2 linked regions of the Notamacropus eugenii genome follow. Each later gene encodes a partner of the first gene's protein in a complex. Links are inferred from orthologs where the notes say so. Each region holds a gene or a part of one and is shown in the gene's direction. Other genes may lie near its edges. The genes, in order: GRK1 and RCVRN.

Region 1 (7,525 bases):
CTATAATAATCTGATTTCTTGGTAATGCAGCATTTAAGACTTCCCTTTCCTTCCCCAGGGTATCAGCCCTCTCCAATAGTCAGTGCTTACAAACTCCTTCTGCTTTAGGTCAGACGATCAACAAATCCCTTTGTTCTGCAGGCGAGGAAACTGAAATATGGAGAGGTTAAGTGACTTGCCCAGTGTCACACAGCTATTAGGTATGTGAGGTGGGATTTAAACTTAAGTCTTCCTGACTCTTCTCCTAGAATTATTTCTAGGCCAGTTCACAGATCATTTTCCAATACATGATTTTATTTTGTTGGAGGGGGCTCTAACGTCTTAATTCAGGTTCAATGTTGGGATGAAGTGTGGCATTTACAAGTCATCCAACGATTAACAAAAGGAGATTTGCTTTGCCCTGTTGTAGCCAGGATATGCGGCAAGGAGGCAGTGGTGCTGGGTTTGTCCCTTCCAAAAGGAAAATTGGTCAACAGGGCAGTATGTGGTGAAGGACACAGTGACTCATGTGGCTTTTGGAAATCTATCAAATTCGAGGTCCCTGACTGCACACATATGGGACTTTTTATGCCCTTAAGTTTGCAAGGGAAACATAGAACCTCTTTTGTCTCTTTTTAGGGAAAACTAATCTCTGTCACAGTACAGTGTATAGAAGACTGGGCCTGAAGTCAGGAAGATTCATTTTTCTGAGTTCAAATCTGGCCTCAGGCACTTACTAGCAGTGTGCCCCTGGGCAACTCATTTACCTCTGTTTGCCTCAGTTTCCTCTTCTGTAAAATGAGCTGGAGAAGGAAATGACAAACTACTCCAGCATCTTTGCCAAGAAAAACCTAAATGGGGTCACAAAGAGTCAAACATGTCTGAAAAACAACTGAACAGCAAATCTCTGTTATAGGAAAAAAGAAGGAAGGAGAGGCCTGTCCTTCTTAGGTGGGAAAACATTTGTGGATTTTAGTTTGATCACACATTTAATCTTCATCACAACCTTTTAAATTAGAAAGAGCCTACTTTATTATCCCCATTTTACAGATGAGAAAATGGAAGCTCAGAGGACAGTTAATAAATGGCAGAGCAAAGACTAGAAATTAAATTGCCTGATTCCAGTGGTCTTTCCCTTATACCACACTTCCTATGCACCTTGTAATAATAATAATAATACCTAATATCTATATGATACTTCAAAGTCTGCAAAATACTTTACATGCATTTTCTCATCTGCTCCAGATAATGGCCCTGTGAGGGAGAGGCTACAGGCATCATCATCCCCATTTTACAGATGAGAAGACTGAGACTCGGAGAGGTTTGTCTTTGCTCATGGCTAGCGTCAGAGGCTTTATTTGAACCTAGGACTCCCTTGACTCCAAGTCCTGTGACCCTTTCTGCTCAAACATACCGCTTCATCAGCCTCTTGTGGAGAAGCGTAAGAAATCAAAGGAACTTTCATCTCTAATTATGGCGAAGAGTTCTGATTAAAGGTTAGTGCTGATTAAAACAAGTGCCTGAGCTGAGTTGGGGAGGCTGTCTTAAATGTATTTATATTATTCATGTTATTATGCTAGCCAACTCATGCATAATGATAGCTTTGACATTATTTGATGATGAATTATATCTTCTCTTAATTTGTATTCTTATCCTAAGTCAGCTGGGTGGCCTAATGCATAGAGCATTGGACTTGGAGTCAGGAATACCTAAGATCTAACTACGCCACAAACCCCTACCAGCTGTGTGCTTCTGGGCAAGTTCCTTAACTCCTGTGTCTCAGTTCCCCCATCTGTAAAAGGGGTTGAATTTGACCCTTAAGTTCCCTTCCAGCTCCCAGACTATGATCCTATGTCCTAAGCCAGAAGGACTTTGCAGGAGACCTGGTTTCAGAGTGAGATTCTATAACCGAGGCTTATTTTCATTCTTTCACTTTTGAGAAGGTTAGAAAGAAATATAAATTCAAGTTGTTATTCAGTCATTTCTAGTAGCATTTGGCTCTTTATGACCCCATTTGCAAAGATACTGGAGTGGTTCACCATTTCCTTCTCCAGCTCATTTTGTAGGTGAGGAAACTGAGGCAAACAGGGTCAAGTGACTTGCCCAGGGTCACACAGCTGGTAAGTATCTGTGGCCAGATTTGAACTCAAGAAGATGAGTTTTTCTAACTTCAGGCCCCATCCACTGCAACCTTGTCAAATTCAAGTCAGTAAGGAGTTATTATGAAATGGCCTCCCTGCTATCTCCACCTGTTTAAATTGTTTTCTTTTAAGTCCTAGGTCAATTTTTGTCATCTCTTCCATGAAACCTTCCTGATTTCCTCAGCTATAAGTAATCTTTGCTTTTTCCATTTTTTCTTACTATACTATACCTCTCCTATATATTTATTATGCATGAATGTACAGAACATCTTTGATTTCATAATCAGAAAGTCTCCAGTTAGGAACTCTTTCCACCTCAAAAAATTGTGACTCATCTGGGATTGAATCTATATGAACTAGAAAGGTGCTTGAGACACAAACAGTCCTGCAGATTATCCACCCCTCGATAACAATGATCTAACATTAATATAGTGCTTAGTTAACAAAGCATTTTACCTCCATTATTTGACTTATAGCCATACCCTGCTACTTTTAAATTCATATCATCTCCCAACCCTACCCTGGATCCTCTTTATTCTTTCTAATTCTCTAGCCCATTCCTGTATTCTGCAGACTATTTCTGAAATAATCTGTAAAGCCCTGATCTCATCTCCAAACTGATATCCTCTGGAAGGAGTTTTCTATCTGCCTATCAAACACACTGTGGATAAACTGCCACACTGGTGATATTTACTAAAAAGGGAGAAATACACATGTGTTTCCTTATCAGTTTTCCAGAAGATGGACTGTTTATTGCCAATCACCAGAGTTTAACTCCTTTCAGTGAGAGTATCATTTTTATTATCATCATATGTGTTCTTTCAATGTTAATATTTTTAAGAATAATTTTGTATAAATGAGGGATTTCTTTTGATCTTAGAGCACATACTGAGGAGTGGTTGTGGGCTAAGCAGTATGAACAGTTTAGTGACTTTTGTCAGATAATTCCCAATTTACAAAAGTGTGGGATTTTGTTTTTTTGTTTTTTTACCAATTCACAGCTACCTTAATCCTATTTTCATGTGCCTAGTCTCCTATAGGCTCTCTAACACTATTTCCAATTTTAAAAAATCGTGTACAAAATTCTTTCCTCACAACATCCATTTTATATCCCTACTTTATAAATCGTAACATCAGAGATTTATTGCTGCAAGAGACTGTGAGCTTCTAATCCAACTCCTTCATTCTATGGGGTGAGAAAACTGAGGCTCAGAGTACCTCAGTGACTTGTCCAAGGTCACATGGTTAAGCAATGAGGCCAGGATTTAGATATGGGTCTCCTGATTCTGAGGAGTCAACAACTCAAATGCGGCTCTTGCCATTATCAATAAACATCCATAAATTGCCTACTTTGTGCCAAACACTGTGCTAAAAGCTGGAGCATGATGCTTTGCTTTTAAATTCAGGATGTTTCCAGGAAATGGTATTGTATATTTAAAATGTTTTTTTTCTTCTTCTCAAACCTTCTTGACACTGGTTTTTCTTTTCACTTTCTTCTTTCTCATAAAGTAAAGTGCAGAAATAAAAATCCAGTTAGACAGGGGTTCTGATTAGTTATGTTAATACCTCATTAATTGGATTTTCTTGCGTGGAGGCATTTAATCTTCCAGGTTTATTTAACACCCTCCTCCAAAGGGTCTGACTAAACAAGTTTCAAATATGTTAATATTTTTCAACACCGGAACAGCGAGGTAGGGAGTCCAACTGTGTTTGTCCAAGTAGAATGCAGAATCAGAGGGAAAAATTGGTGATTTCTGGGTATTTTGTATCTTAAGTGGCCTTGCAAGGAACGTTACCCAAAGTATTCAAAATTTTCTAGGCAACAAAATAAATATGATCTTAAAGAGAGAGGGAGATGAGAATAATTATCTGCCTAATCAGATAAGAAGGCTACAAAGGTGATGACTCAGGAGAATTATCTTTTTCTGACCCTGGTTCATCACATCTAATTCAACCTCCACCTATATCTAAGGATCCCAGGGATTAGCATAGGTGCTGATCTTGCACATTACCTAGGAACCTGGGGATCTGTTTGTTTTTTACATTGCTTCTTCCTTGGTCATTGCACTGGACAGGACGTCTCCCTTGTCCCCTGGGAGGGCAGGAGGGTGCCACAGGCCAAGGACGGGTCATTCCCCAAAAATCAGTTCTGAGGATCCTCTCACAATTCAGCTTTAACTCGTGACTTCTCATGTGTGAACACAGAGACTGAAGAGCCTGAGGGATGGATTTTGGATCATTGGAGACCGTTGTGGCCAACTCTGCCTTCATAGCTGCCCGGGCCAGTATCGATGCAAGTGGTAGTTCGCATCTATCCCGGGACAAGAAGTACCTTTCAAAGCTCAAACTGCCTCCTCTCTCCAAATGTGAATCCCTACGGGACACTCTTAACTTAGAATTTGAAAACATTTGCTCTGAGCAACCTATTGGCAAGCGCCTGTTCCAACAGTTCCTAAAGAATGATGAACGGTATGTCCCTGCAGTCGAGTTATGGAGGGACATTGAAGACTATGACACCGCTGACGATGATTTTCGCCTTCAGAAAGCCCAGGGCATCCTTGCTGACTACCTGGACCCTAAGGCCAAGCTTTTCTGCAGTTTCCTGGAGGAAGGGATGGTTGAGAAAGTCAAGGAGAAACACTCAAGCATCCCCAATGGACTCTTCCAACCTCTTCTTGAAGTAGCTCTGCACTACCTGAGTGAGGTTCCCTTCCAAGAGTACATGGAGAGCTTATATTTCTTGAGATTCCTGCAGTGGAAGTGGCTGGAAGCTCAGCCCATCGGGGAAGACTGGTTTTTGGACTTCAGGGTCCTGGGGAAAGGGGGTTTTGGGGAGGTGTCAGGTTGCCAGATGAAAGCCACAGGCAAGATGTACGCCTGTAAAAAACTGAATAAGAAGAGGCTGAAGAAAAGAAAAGGGTATCAAGTAAGCAGCAGCAAATAGGTCCCAGCAAGTCCAAAGTAAATGCCTTTGAGATTCCCAAGATGGGGCAGAAGTGGGAGGTGGCAAGGTTGTGGGGCAGTGGGCATGGCAGTACATTCACTGGGATGTAGAAATTCAGTCACTCTCTTCACATAGCTCTAATACAGAGTAGAGGCTTGCATTTTGGGTATAGACAATCTTGACTTGGAGTAGTAGCCAAACTGTCCATGGCTAGCGTTCTGGTCAATGAAGCAACCATGATACAGTGAATAGAAAGCTGGCCCTTGAATCTGGACAACCTGGATTCAAGTTCCAACTCTGACATGTACTGGCAGTGTGATCGTAGGCAAACCATTTAACCTCTTAGTGCCCAGAATAATAGAGTGGCTGCTCTTCTACATTGGAAGAGGGAGTCCCCACCTGGGAGCTCCCTACATAGATGAAATCACAGGTCCAGACCAAAAAATATACATTATATCTTTAAGATGGGATACCCATACCTGGTGGTATAGGACTTGAGTTTCGATGTTTTATGACACTGAAAGCTAAATCACTAAGGGAGGAGAATGGATTGAATGACCTCTTAACACCCCTTCCAGTCCAGTGATGATATGGTTCACCTCTTCCAGTTCTATTGTTGTAATTAATATCAATTGTTTTAAAAGTAATCTGGGTATTACTTTGGTTTGTGGCCAACCCATAGGATATATCGGTATAGTAGTTATTTTATATATGTATATATACATGTATATATATACACACGCACATATATATGTATACATATGTATACACATGTACATATATGCACATATACACATACATGTATATACTTATGTGTATATTTTATATATATATATATATACACACACACACACACATATACACACACATACATTTTAAAACTACTACCTTAGAAATATAGCTGGAGGAATGCCTTATTCTTCCAGGTGCCTCAGTCTGGGTTTTGGAAATATACTCAGCACAATCATAACTTACTTTGTGCTCTAAAAAGAGAGGTACAGTTTTCCATAGTGGCTAGGGATAAAACCTGGACCTGTGATTTCATCAGAATAGGGAATTCCTGGTGAGGAAACTCCCTCTAACAATACAGATTGGCACCTTTTCTGCAATTTAAAATTTATTTGCCCAGAGCATTGAAAGATTAAATAATTTGCCCGGAGTCACAAAACCAGTATATGTCCCAGGTAGGACTTGAACCCAGGTTTTCCTGGCTAGGAGTCCAGCTTTATATCTATTATACCATATCTGCCTCTTAGGGATTTCAGTGACACCAGAGACCAACACTGACCTTCACCTTATAAGAAATGCACATTTCATCCTAACTTTTAAAAATTGCAGTTGTTCCATGTCATGATGGGGTCATGCTGCATGGGGTCCACTCCTCCTTCACTTATGCCAATGTTCCATTTGAGAAGGAGTCCCTGTTAATTTCTGTAAAGTGACTTGTAAACACATCTTTTTGGCCTTTCCATTGACCTTGACACATATCTGACCAAATGAGGTGCTCTGTTTTCCTCCAAAGGTTGCTCAGGGCAACTAGTACTATTACTGAGGCACTTTTCAAATGCAGGAAATTTGTAAGTAGGATCAGTCTGTGACTTGTTTAAAGAAACAAACCAACAAATGACATCCAACTCAATAGTGCAGTAGGAACCGTCTGAGACTGGTCTAAAAAAAGAAACAAATAGTGCACTAGTAGATGGTGTAGTGGGGACAGTCAATGACAGGGAGAAAGATAGAATCCAGTACTAGAATCCAGTACTATTTGGTGAGTGGGGACTGTCTATAACCGTAAGACAGAAAGAAAGGAAGGAAGGAAGGAAGAAAGAAGAATTAGCACATAACTAGGTGGTGATTGTGCTTGGTATGACCATATCTCTGGTCAATTGATCTGAACTGAAGAGGTTAAAGACAAAAATATTAAATCAATCGAGGGAAACATGAGTTCCAAGGAAAAGGCTGTAGAATTCTGATGATGGGATCTTAGAAAAGTAATAATTATTCTTTTTACCTGGTCAAGAAAGGTAGTTTGACATAAAGGAGAGGGAGCTGACTTTTAAACCAGGAAGACTTGAATTCCAGGGCTGCCTCTTCCACATGTTGTCTGTGTGATTCTGGGCACGACCCTTGACCTCTCTCTGTGCTGAATCTAAGCAACTTTCTAAGACTAGGAGTTGCAGAGGAGATGCTGACCTATATTGGTAAAGAGAGTTTCTTCTCATGGGAATTCCTCATGCCAGTGAAATCCCAGAGCCAGTCCCTCTCTCAATACTTACCATAATACCTTCTTCTTCCAGATCAATAAGCTAACTAGATATGGGTAAAAATGAAGTAAAATTTACATTTTTTTTCCTCATTGTAGGCTTACATACAAACCTTTCTGATGCCAAGCTTTCTTTTTTTCCTCCCAAGAGATTATTTCCTCTTTCTAGTTGCAAATCCAAGGTGAACAGAGCAAAAT
Region 2 (8,532 bases), on another chromosome or scaffold:
GGAGAATATATTCTGGGTATCTGTGAGTTCCCAGTTCCTCCAAGGTGGCACAGTCAAGGGAGAGGAGTTTATTCCTCTCCTGGCCTGCACACTGGTATGGGAGCAACCAAAAACTTTTCTGCCCAGAATCTGCAATTGGAATTCCCTTACCACAACCACCTCCAGCTCCACCACCAGTTCTCCTCCTCACCCTGGAGTGTAGCTCAAGGCTGAAAATCAGATCAGTGACTCAATTTTCCCAGGGGCTCTAGGCGGAAGGTGCCAAAAATGACAGCTGCCACTGCAGTGCCTGCTGGCAGAGGTCCAGACCCTGCTCCTCTCTCCTGGGTGAAAGAGCCCTTGTACTGACCTTTGAAGCTGTCTGTGGTGTTTCTGGGTTCAGCAATCTGGGAACTACTCCCAGTGGCACCCTGAAGCCTGTTCTGAGTCCTGTCCCTGCTGTTCCAGCACCAGACTGGTCTGTGAGCCACACTCTAGGCTTAATTGCTTCTTCTTAAAAGGCCAGTGAACCCTATTAGCTCTGTCTGAGAACAGCCTTGGGATCTGAGGACGACCTGAGCTATACTTACATCCTCTATATTTTTTGCAGGCTGCCCAAAATCCTTGTGTGGGCAACAAGTATATATGACTCAGCTCTTCTCAGCAGCACAATGATCCAATCTTTTGTACTTATAAAGTATACATGAAGGAAAATGCTATCCACATCCAGATAAAGAACTGATGGACTCTGAATGCAGATTGAAGCATATATATTTTACAGCTGTGACTAATATGAAAATGTTTTACATGATAGCAAATGTATAACCTATATCAAATTGCCTACCATTTTAGGAAGAGAGGAATGGAGACAAGGAGAAAAATTTGGAACTCAAACTCTTGTAAAAATGAATGCTAAAAATTGTTTTGACATATGATTGGGGAAAAAATAAAATACCAAGGAAAAAATACTAAGAAAAATACTAAGAAAATATAAAAAAATACTAAGAAAAATACTAAAAAATACTAAGAAAAAAATATCAAGGTTGGGCCAAGTTTTGCTTTAAATTCTGTAATCCTGTGCCCCTTTTCCCTACTTCTCCCCAGGGCAAAGTTGTGGTCCTGGGGACAACTGGAAGTTTTCAAGAGGCAGAATTATTTTTTAGTTAAAGGTTAGATAGACTAGATGACCTCTGAAGTCCCTTCCAATGATCCAATCCTATGAGTATAGTTGCCACCAGATGGTGATTTATCCCAGTAAGAAGTTCGATAAATTAACAACAATCAAAATTAATTGAATACCTACTATGTGCAAGACTCTGTGCTAATAAGAGGACACAACACATATATAGGGAAAGTATAGCTGCAAGATTAATGGAAAGGTCAAGTGGTCTTCAGGATGCAGCCACCAAACAGGTGGCAATGTACTTTCTTTAGTATTATCTCTTTTGATGAAACCGTATTTATTTCTGATGTTGGATAATTTAATAATACCAAAGATTTTGGAGTAAAAAAAATCATTTTTGACTCTTTAGTAACTGTGGCTGCTGAAGAGGTAAGGCTACAGCACCTGTGGAGACAGATGTCTGGTAGGATCTCTACAAGGATTGCTCTCCTGGAGATAGTGGAATTCCCTAGGGAATGGCTTGGGGTCATTATTACCCCTTGATACTTGGCTACAAAGTAATTGATTGTTTTTATTGGGGTCTTGATAAATGTACAAGTCAAGGTAATAGACCCTATATTGGTCTGCCAAGCACACACCAACAGAGCCTTCCCTTTCTCCATTGTAATGATTTAGAGAATCACAAAGAGCTTCTTGGGCCCTAAGATTCAGACATACAAAGTCATATGGTGCCTATAAAGGTACTAGCTGAAGCCTTGGGATCATCTACCCCATCTGTCTGCACAGAGCTCCCAACTCAGCTCAGTGAATCAGCTTCTGACACTGCTGCAAAGGGCCTGAGCCTTTAATGGAACTGGAAGCAAATAGTGGCTTTGGGCTGTGGTTACACAAACCTGGGGGCAATTAACTATTTGATCCAGGTCCACAGGACTTTGGTAAGATAATGATTAAGATTGCAAGTCCCGTGGAAAATAATCTTCCCCATATTAGCATAGAGGCAAAATTCCGAATAAATAGTCCATTATCCCTGTGACTCACACACGCCTGCCAAATTGTCAATGAACAGGCATCTCCCTCCTCCTTCAGTCCCTGATGAATAGATTTTGTATTGTCACAGAATTTCTACAAGTGTTGAGTTTTACCTTTAACAGAAAATGGAAAAGATGTTAGACTTTGTGCTCCCTGTTCTTACAAGTTAAGATATTTTCAGTCTCCTCTACAATCTATTCTCCACATATCTACCAAAATGATGTTCGAAAGCACGGGTCTAATCCTCTGTGTCATTCCCCTGCTTGATAAACTGGTGGTTCCCTATTACTTCTAGGATTTAGTTCAAATTCCTCTGTTTGACACTTAAAGATTTTCACAACCTATCTTTCCATCCTTACACATTACTCTGCCTCACACCCTCTTGGATTCAGCCTAATGGCCTTCTTGCTGTTCTCCATAGGGCACTCAATTTCTCCAGTCCCTGACTTTGCACAGGCTTTCTCCCCTGACTTTAATGCACTCCCTACTGACCTCTGATTTTTTTTTTAGAATTCCTGGTTTTCTTCAAAGTTTAGCTTAAACTTCACTTATTGCAGAAGACTTTTCCTCATCTCCCCAAATGCTAGTGCTTTCACCGCCCACAAAAAAACACCTTGTATTTTGCATGTATATATCTGGTTTTTATATACAGCTTCCCCCACCCCTTTAGAAAATTAATTAACTCTTGAAAAACACTAGAGAGGAAACTTTTAAGAAAAGGTAATTACCACTCACTTCAATGGAACAATTTTTCCTGAGCCTCCAAATTAGCTCATTCAATATCCATTTATAATCAATGTCTATGTAATTGAATCTTTAAAAAAAGTCTTAATAGAATAGTGAAGACACTACCACCACCACCACCAAAGAAAAACAACAGTGCAAATGATATCACTCACCAAGAATGGTAATATCATGCAATGTGTGGAAGAACAAGAACAGGGCGGAAGATTTAGGTGAGTCACTTCAACACTTTTTTCATTTTAGGGGGCCTGATGCATGAAATTGCTAAGACTATAAAACGGTAAATCACCACTACTCTGGAGGAACTTAACACAGCAGACACCAGCTAGATAGTTTCAAAAGTGACTTCACAGTGACTTTTAGTGTGGAGCTAAATTTTTCTGGCAGTCAAAATGGAAATCAGTCCTCATAAAAGCAAAGAAAGCCTGGTTATCTAAAGCAGGGATATGAAATGAAAATCTTCCATATAAAGTCAGATTCTCACATCCCCAGTGGGTATATCTAAACATATGGCTGTATTTATATGTGCACATATTGTTTCTTCCCATAGAATCCTTCTGTGGGCAGCCATTATTTACCGTTTTATTTTTTGTCTTTACAATCCCAGCACATAGTAGATGTTTGATAATTTATTGATTTATTGACTGATAAGATTGATCAATAAGACTGTTACTGGGCATAGTAGGACAAACCATTAAAATACCTGCAACTAGGGAGGTTAAAACTGGTGGATCACTTAACCTTCGGAGCTCTGAGCTGGAATATAGCTCAAGCTAGCTGATAGAGTCTCATCACTAAGGCTGATTCCAACATGGTGAGCCTCCACAAGTGAGGCAGCCATCAGGTTGCCTGGAAGGAAGGGGAAGAACTGGCCAGGAATGAAGCAGGTTAAAGCTTTAGAGGGGATCAGCACTGGAGTCAGCCATGAGTGACCACTCTACTTCCAACGTGGACAGCATAAAGAGATCCACTCTCAAAAAAACAATCTAGACAAAATTGTAACCCTTGAGGGACCCCAGCCTGTACTTTGCCCTATTTTCTTCTTTTCTCACACCAGAGGTATTTTGAATTCTCATTCTATATCCTTTCTTGCCTCATCTCTGACCCTATCCCTCTGCTGGCTAAAAAGTGACTAATATCACATATTTTCATTTCACTGTAAAACCTCTTTTAGAGGCATTACATATTTCATCAAAGATGAAGAACTTTTTAAGAAGAATTTTGAGCAGCATTCAGCAAGGATGTGTATGTGGAAGGTGCTGCCAGAAGACCCACTGTAGAGCCCCAAATTAACTCTCTACTTCTGCCCACTGTGGGGCAGGAGAATCTGGGTCCTAGTTCTGACTTTGCCTTTCTAAGTGTGATCTTGGAAAAGTCTCTTCACCTCTTTGGCCCTCAATTTCCTAAAAATAAAATGAAGTGGATTGGACCAAGTGACCTCCAGCTCTGATCATACCTGATTTTAAGAATGGCCATGGAGCATAGCATGTGTGGGAAATTTATTTGCTCCATTAATGATGAATTTGTAGAGGGAGTTTATGGATATAAAAGAATCAGAGGTAAGTGTATATTGGGTCTTGAAGAGTCTAGAAAAGGAACAAGCAAGTGAAATGAAATGATATGAGCAGGGGACTATGAGAGTCCTTGAAAGAAATATAAAGGTTAGGTGAGATACACTTCATGCCCTCATGGACCCTCAAGGATAATATGGAGATGCCACCAGAATATCAAATGGTAAATGGAAAAGGGATGCATGTTTTCTAGATATTGACCAACAAAGGAAACTCATTTGGCAAAGCTTCGCTAAAAGCTCTTTTTCTTTTCTTAAAATAAGAATTAATCTTGATATTCTGAGCTCCTAAGATCATGATAGGAGGGAGAGGGCTCAGAGGACATCATTTCTAAGCCAGAAGAGTTCAGTACTTCCTATTAGTACATGGGGTAGAGAAGTGGCTAAAAGATTAGTAATGACCACAAATCCTTCTAATCCACCACAGGCTTTGTCTTAATTTGAAAACCCTGAACCTTGTGTCGAGTCAGCCTCAGTTCAGAGAGAGGAGGCTAGCTGCCACTTAGCATTTACTACTTGTCTGGTACCCAATCACCCTCACCCATGGGAAACAGCAGAAGTGGCTCCCTATCCAAAGATATCTTGGAGGAGCTGCAGCTAAATACCAAATACAAAGAGGAGGAACTATGTGCCTGGTACCAGTCCTTCCTGAAGGAGTGCCCCAGTGGCAAGATAACCAGACAGGAGTTTGAGAGCATCTACTCCAAATTTTTCCCAGATGCAGACCCGAAGGCCTATGCCCAGCATGTGTTCCGCAGCTTCGATGCAAACAACGATGGGACGTTGGACTTTAAGGAATATATCATTGCGCTCCACATGACCACAGCTGGCAAAACCCAACAGAAACTGGAGTGGGCGTTTTCCCTCTACGACATAGATGGCAATGGTACCATCAGCAAAAATGAAGTACTTGAGATCGTCATGGTATAGTTTATCCTCACTCCCATCATTGGTTGGCTGGGACCCAGTGGAGTCAATGACCTAGAATCACAGAACTTTTACCTTATGGAGCCAGAGCTGGAAGGGACCTTAGAGGTCATCCAGTCCCTCCTTTTACAGAGGAGGAATAAGGTTAGAGAGGAAAAGGGACTTGGCTGGAGCCAGTTAGTTGCAGAGCAGGAACTAAGAACTGAATTTCCTGATTTCCAGGCCAGTGTTTTCTCATTGCAACCATGTCCTTGATCAGGGATAGCTTAGGCAAGGTCTGGGTGGGTTTGTTTCATAGATATATGCTTTTTCTCTATGATCATCATGAATTGATTTAAATGTTATTCTTTATGCTTGTTTCCCAAACTAATTTGGCCTCAGAACTATTTTGAATTAGATATATTAAAGGAAGTCATGAATGTTAATCTAGGATACCAGAGGGTTTGAAATACTCCTGAGGATGAAGGGTAAAATCAAAGAAGAGAAAATTAAGCCTTCTTCCAGCACCCCAAGCTGCTGTTGCTCAGTTGTTTCAGTCATGTCCAACAATCTTAGTGATCCCATTTTGGGGGTTTTCTTGGCAAACATATGGGAGTGGTTGGTCATTTCCTTCTTCAGCTTGTTTTACAGATGAGAAAAGTGAGGCTTGCCCAGGGTTCCATAGCTAATTAAGTGTCTGAGGCCAGATTTGAACTCAGGAAGATGAATCTTCCTTACCTCAGGCCTGGCACTCTATCCACTGTGCTACCTAGCTTCCCAATCCTTGCTACCATAGATAATTTTGCCAAATATACTTTCATATTTAGTATTTTCGAGGGAAAAGTAATGCCAGGAGATAAACTTTCTCATTGACCTCTATTCACATAGCATGCAGAACACAGAAAGAGTGGCTTTTCTAATGTATTAAACACAATCATACTGTAGGTATTTTTCCTATGGTTTTTGAGAAAATATTCCTGATGCAATAGAAGAATTTTCTAGCATTTGGATATTTTTTCTTCAAAATTGCAAATATTACAAACTCAAATTATATAACACACAATGATATTTACATAGATACCATGTCTGAAATGTATAAAACAGCAAACACTAAGACAGGCAGCTCAGATTCTAGTCTCAGCTCTCCTACTTAAAAACCAGCAGTGTGACTTTGCTCCAGTCAATTGTAGGGAAGTGAGGATTGGAGAAGAGTTGAACTGATGACTTTCGGAAGTTCCTTTCAGCTCTGATGTCGTAGGTAGACATCAAAGATAGTCATTTATATCAATAGTGTTTGTAGACTTCTGTAGCATTTGTATTTCCCATTTTTTAGCTTCTTTGAAGTTTTGCACTTTGTCTTTTAATCTTTTCTTCCTTAGTTTCCTCTTCTATAAAATAAGAGGGCTGAACTAGATGGCCTTTGAGGTCCCTTTTAGGTCTAAACCTCTGCTCCTAGGATCTCCCCTCCCCTCTCTTTCCCCCTAGTGACTGGCCTTTTACAAAGATTTTTGCATTCTAATCCTATTCTTATTATGAAGGGAAATGTGGATTTGAGGGAGAGGGCAAGGACTGATTATTTTTTTTAAGTAAATAGTGTTTAATTTTTTCCAATTACATATAAAGACAGTTTTTCAGCATTCATTTTTCATAAGATTTTGAGTTCCAAATTTTTCTTTCCTTCTCCCTCCTCCCCCTTCTCCAAGAAGGCAAGCAATCTGATGTAGGTTACATATGTGCTAATTCTTTGTTTTAAGACTGCACACGCTTCTCTATACATTTCTTTACATTTTTTAAAGCATGAGCTAGAAAATCATCAATAAGCATAAATATTTCCGTAGACAAAGTCTATATACATTTTTCAATTGGATATTCATTTGCAAAATTCTTTTTACCATGCACACAGAATGCTCTTCCTGAGCATTCTCATGAATGGATCACTATAGGCTGCAATGGCTGTGATGGATTTGTATCATCCTTGAGGAAGCATAGAGAGGGTCACATTTTCATATTGACTGTGAGAAAGGGACCAAAGGTAGTCTGTGTTGATTATTTAGCCAGATAGCAGCAGCATCCTCTAGAGATGCCTGTGGGGGGTTAGTCTTATTAGGGTTAGAAGTTTCTTTGAGGGGATATGGGTGCTCCCTAGGGCAAGGGAAGAAAGGAGGTGGAAGGAGATAAGGAAGGGCTACGATGGTGGGTAGAAAGTGTGGAGTAACATTTTAAGTTATAGGATAATAGAAATTACTAATAATACACTAGCAAGAGCGTTGGCCAGAACTAGATATTGGAATACCTTTGTTCTGGTCTTACCTCTGACACTAACTCATTATGTAACTTTCGGAATGCAACTTGCATCCCCAATCTGGGCCTCAGTTTCCTGCTGTGGAAATAAAGATCCCTCTGCTCCCACTATCTATCATGCTATAGTTCTATGATTTTAAGATGGAGTTGGGACCAGAGGAAAACTGGGAAGTTATCCAAAATTCAAATCTCTTCTCTTGGAGAATCTCTGCTCATTTCATTTTGCAGGATCCCTACCTCTTCAAGTCAAATAGAGAAGGATATAGAGGACCTGGGTATTAAAGGCACCAAGACTTGTGCCTTTGTATTTCGCTCTGTCCCTTTTCTCCTCAGTTGTCCAATCAAAGCCATTCTGATTGTTCTTTATTTCCCACACAGGAAATACTAGGATACTTATTGGACCTAGGGGAAGACAAGTCAAATTCTTTCACTTTTTTGAGTTCAGGAGAGGATTTATCACTTTCACAATTTCTCTAGACATAGAGTTAGTATTGCTAAATTCATTGGCAGGCTGGGACGGAGGGTGGGGAGCAAAGGAAGCACTAGAATAGTGCTGGTATCCTATCCTTTTCTCCAAGCCAGGAAGGTTAACCAGTAGCTACCAAGGGCCAAAAGAGAAGTGGGACACATTTGGTTTCATATAATTGTATCCAGGAGGGGCATATACAGGCCTCTAGCCTGCCCCAGGAATAGGTTTAAAAGTTAAAGCAGCCTTAAATGACTCATTGTGACACATTGCTTCCCTGAAAAACACATTCCAGGTCCAAATTTTCCCTGGTGCAAACCATTCCAGTCCAAATTTACCTGGTTGGATAAAGACATTCTGGAATTCTTCTGGAGTTCATAGAAACATAGAAAATATGAATGACAACTGAATGAA

Evidence for each region.
Region 2: the proteins of GRK1 (region 1) and RCVRN are in contact, whole or in part, in an NMR structure (PDB 2I94), measured with the Bos taurus proteins. The link is inferred for Notamacropus eugenii from reciprocal best matches to the Homo sapiens genes GRK1 and RCVRN. Residues at the interface, in NP_776598.1 of Bos taurus: Phe3, Gly4, Leu6, Glu7, Val9, Val10, Ala11, Asn12, Ser13, Ala14, Phe15, Ile16; in NP_776590.1 of Bos taurus: Lys22, Trp31, Ser34, Phe35, Glu38, Cys39, Phe49, Ile52, Tyr53, Lys55, Phe56, Phe57, Tyr86, Leu90, Thr93, Ser94, Phe188, Glu189.

The regions. Positions count from the first base shown.
Region 1 is NC_092877.1:207,271,070-207,278,594, reverse strand, and holds the start of GRK1 (rhodopsin kinase GRK1), read left to right. Parts: upstream 1-4,344; coding exon 4,345-5,046; intron 5,047-7,525. UniProt on the Homo sapiens protein: Retina-specific kinase involved in the signal turnoff via phosphorylation of rhodopsin (RHO), the G protein- coupled receptor that initiates the phototransduction cascade.
Region 2 is NC_092873.1:317,137,093-317,145,624, forward strand, and holds the start of RCVRN (recoverin), read left to right. Parts: upstream 1-4,988; coding exon 4,989-5,369; intron 5,370-8,532. UniProt on the Homo sapiens protein: Acts as a calcium sensor and regulates phototransduction of cone and rod photoreceptor cells. Modulates light sensitivity of cone photoreceptor in dark and dim conditions.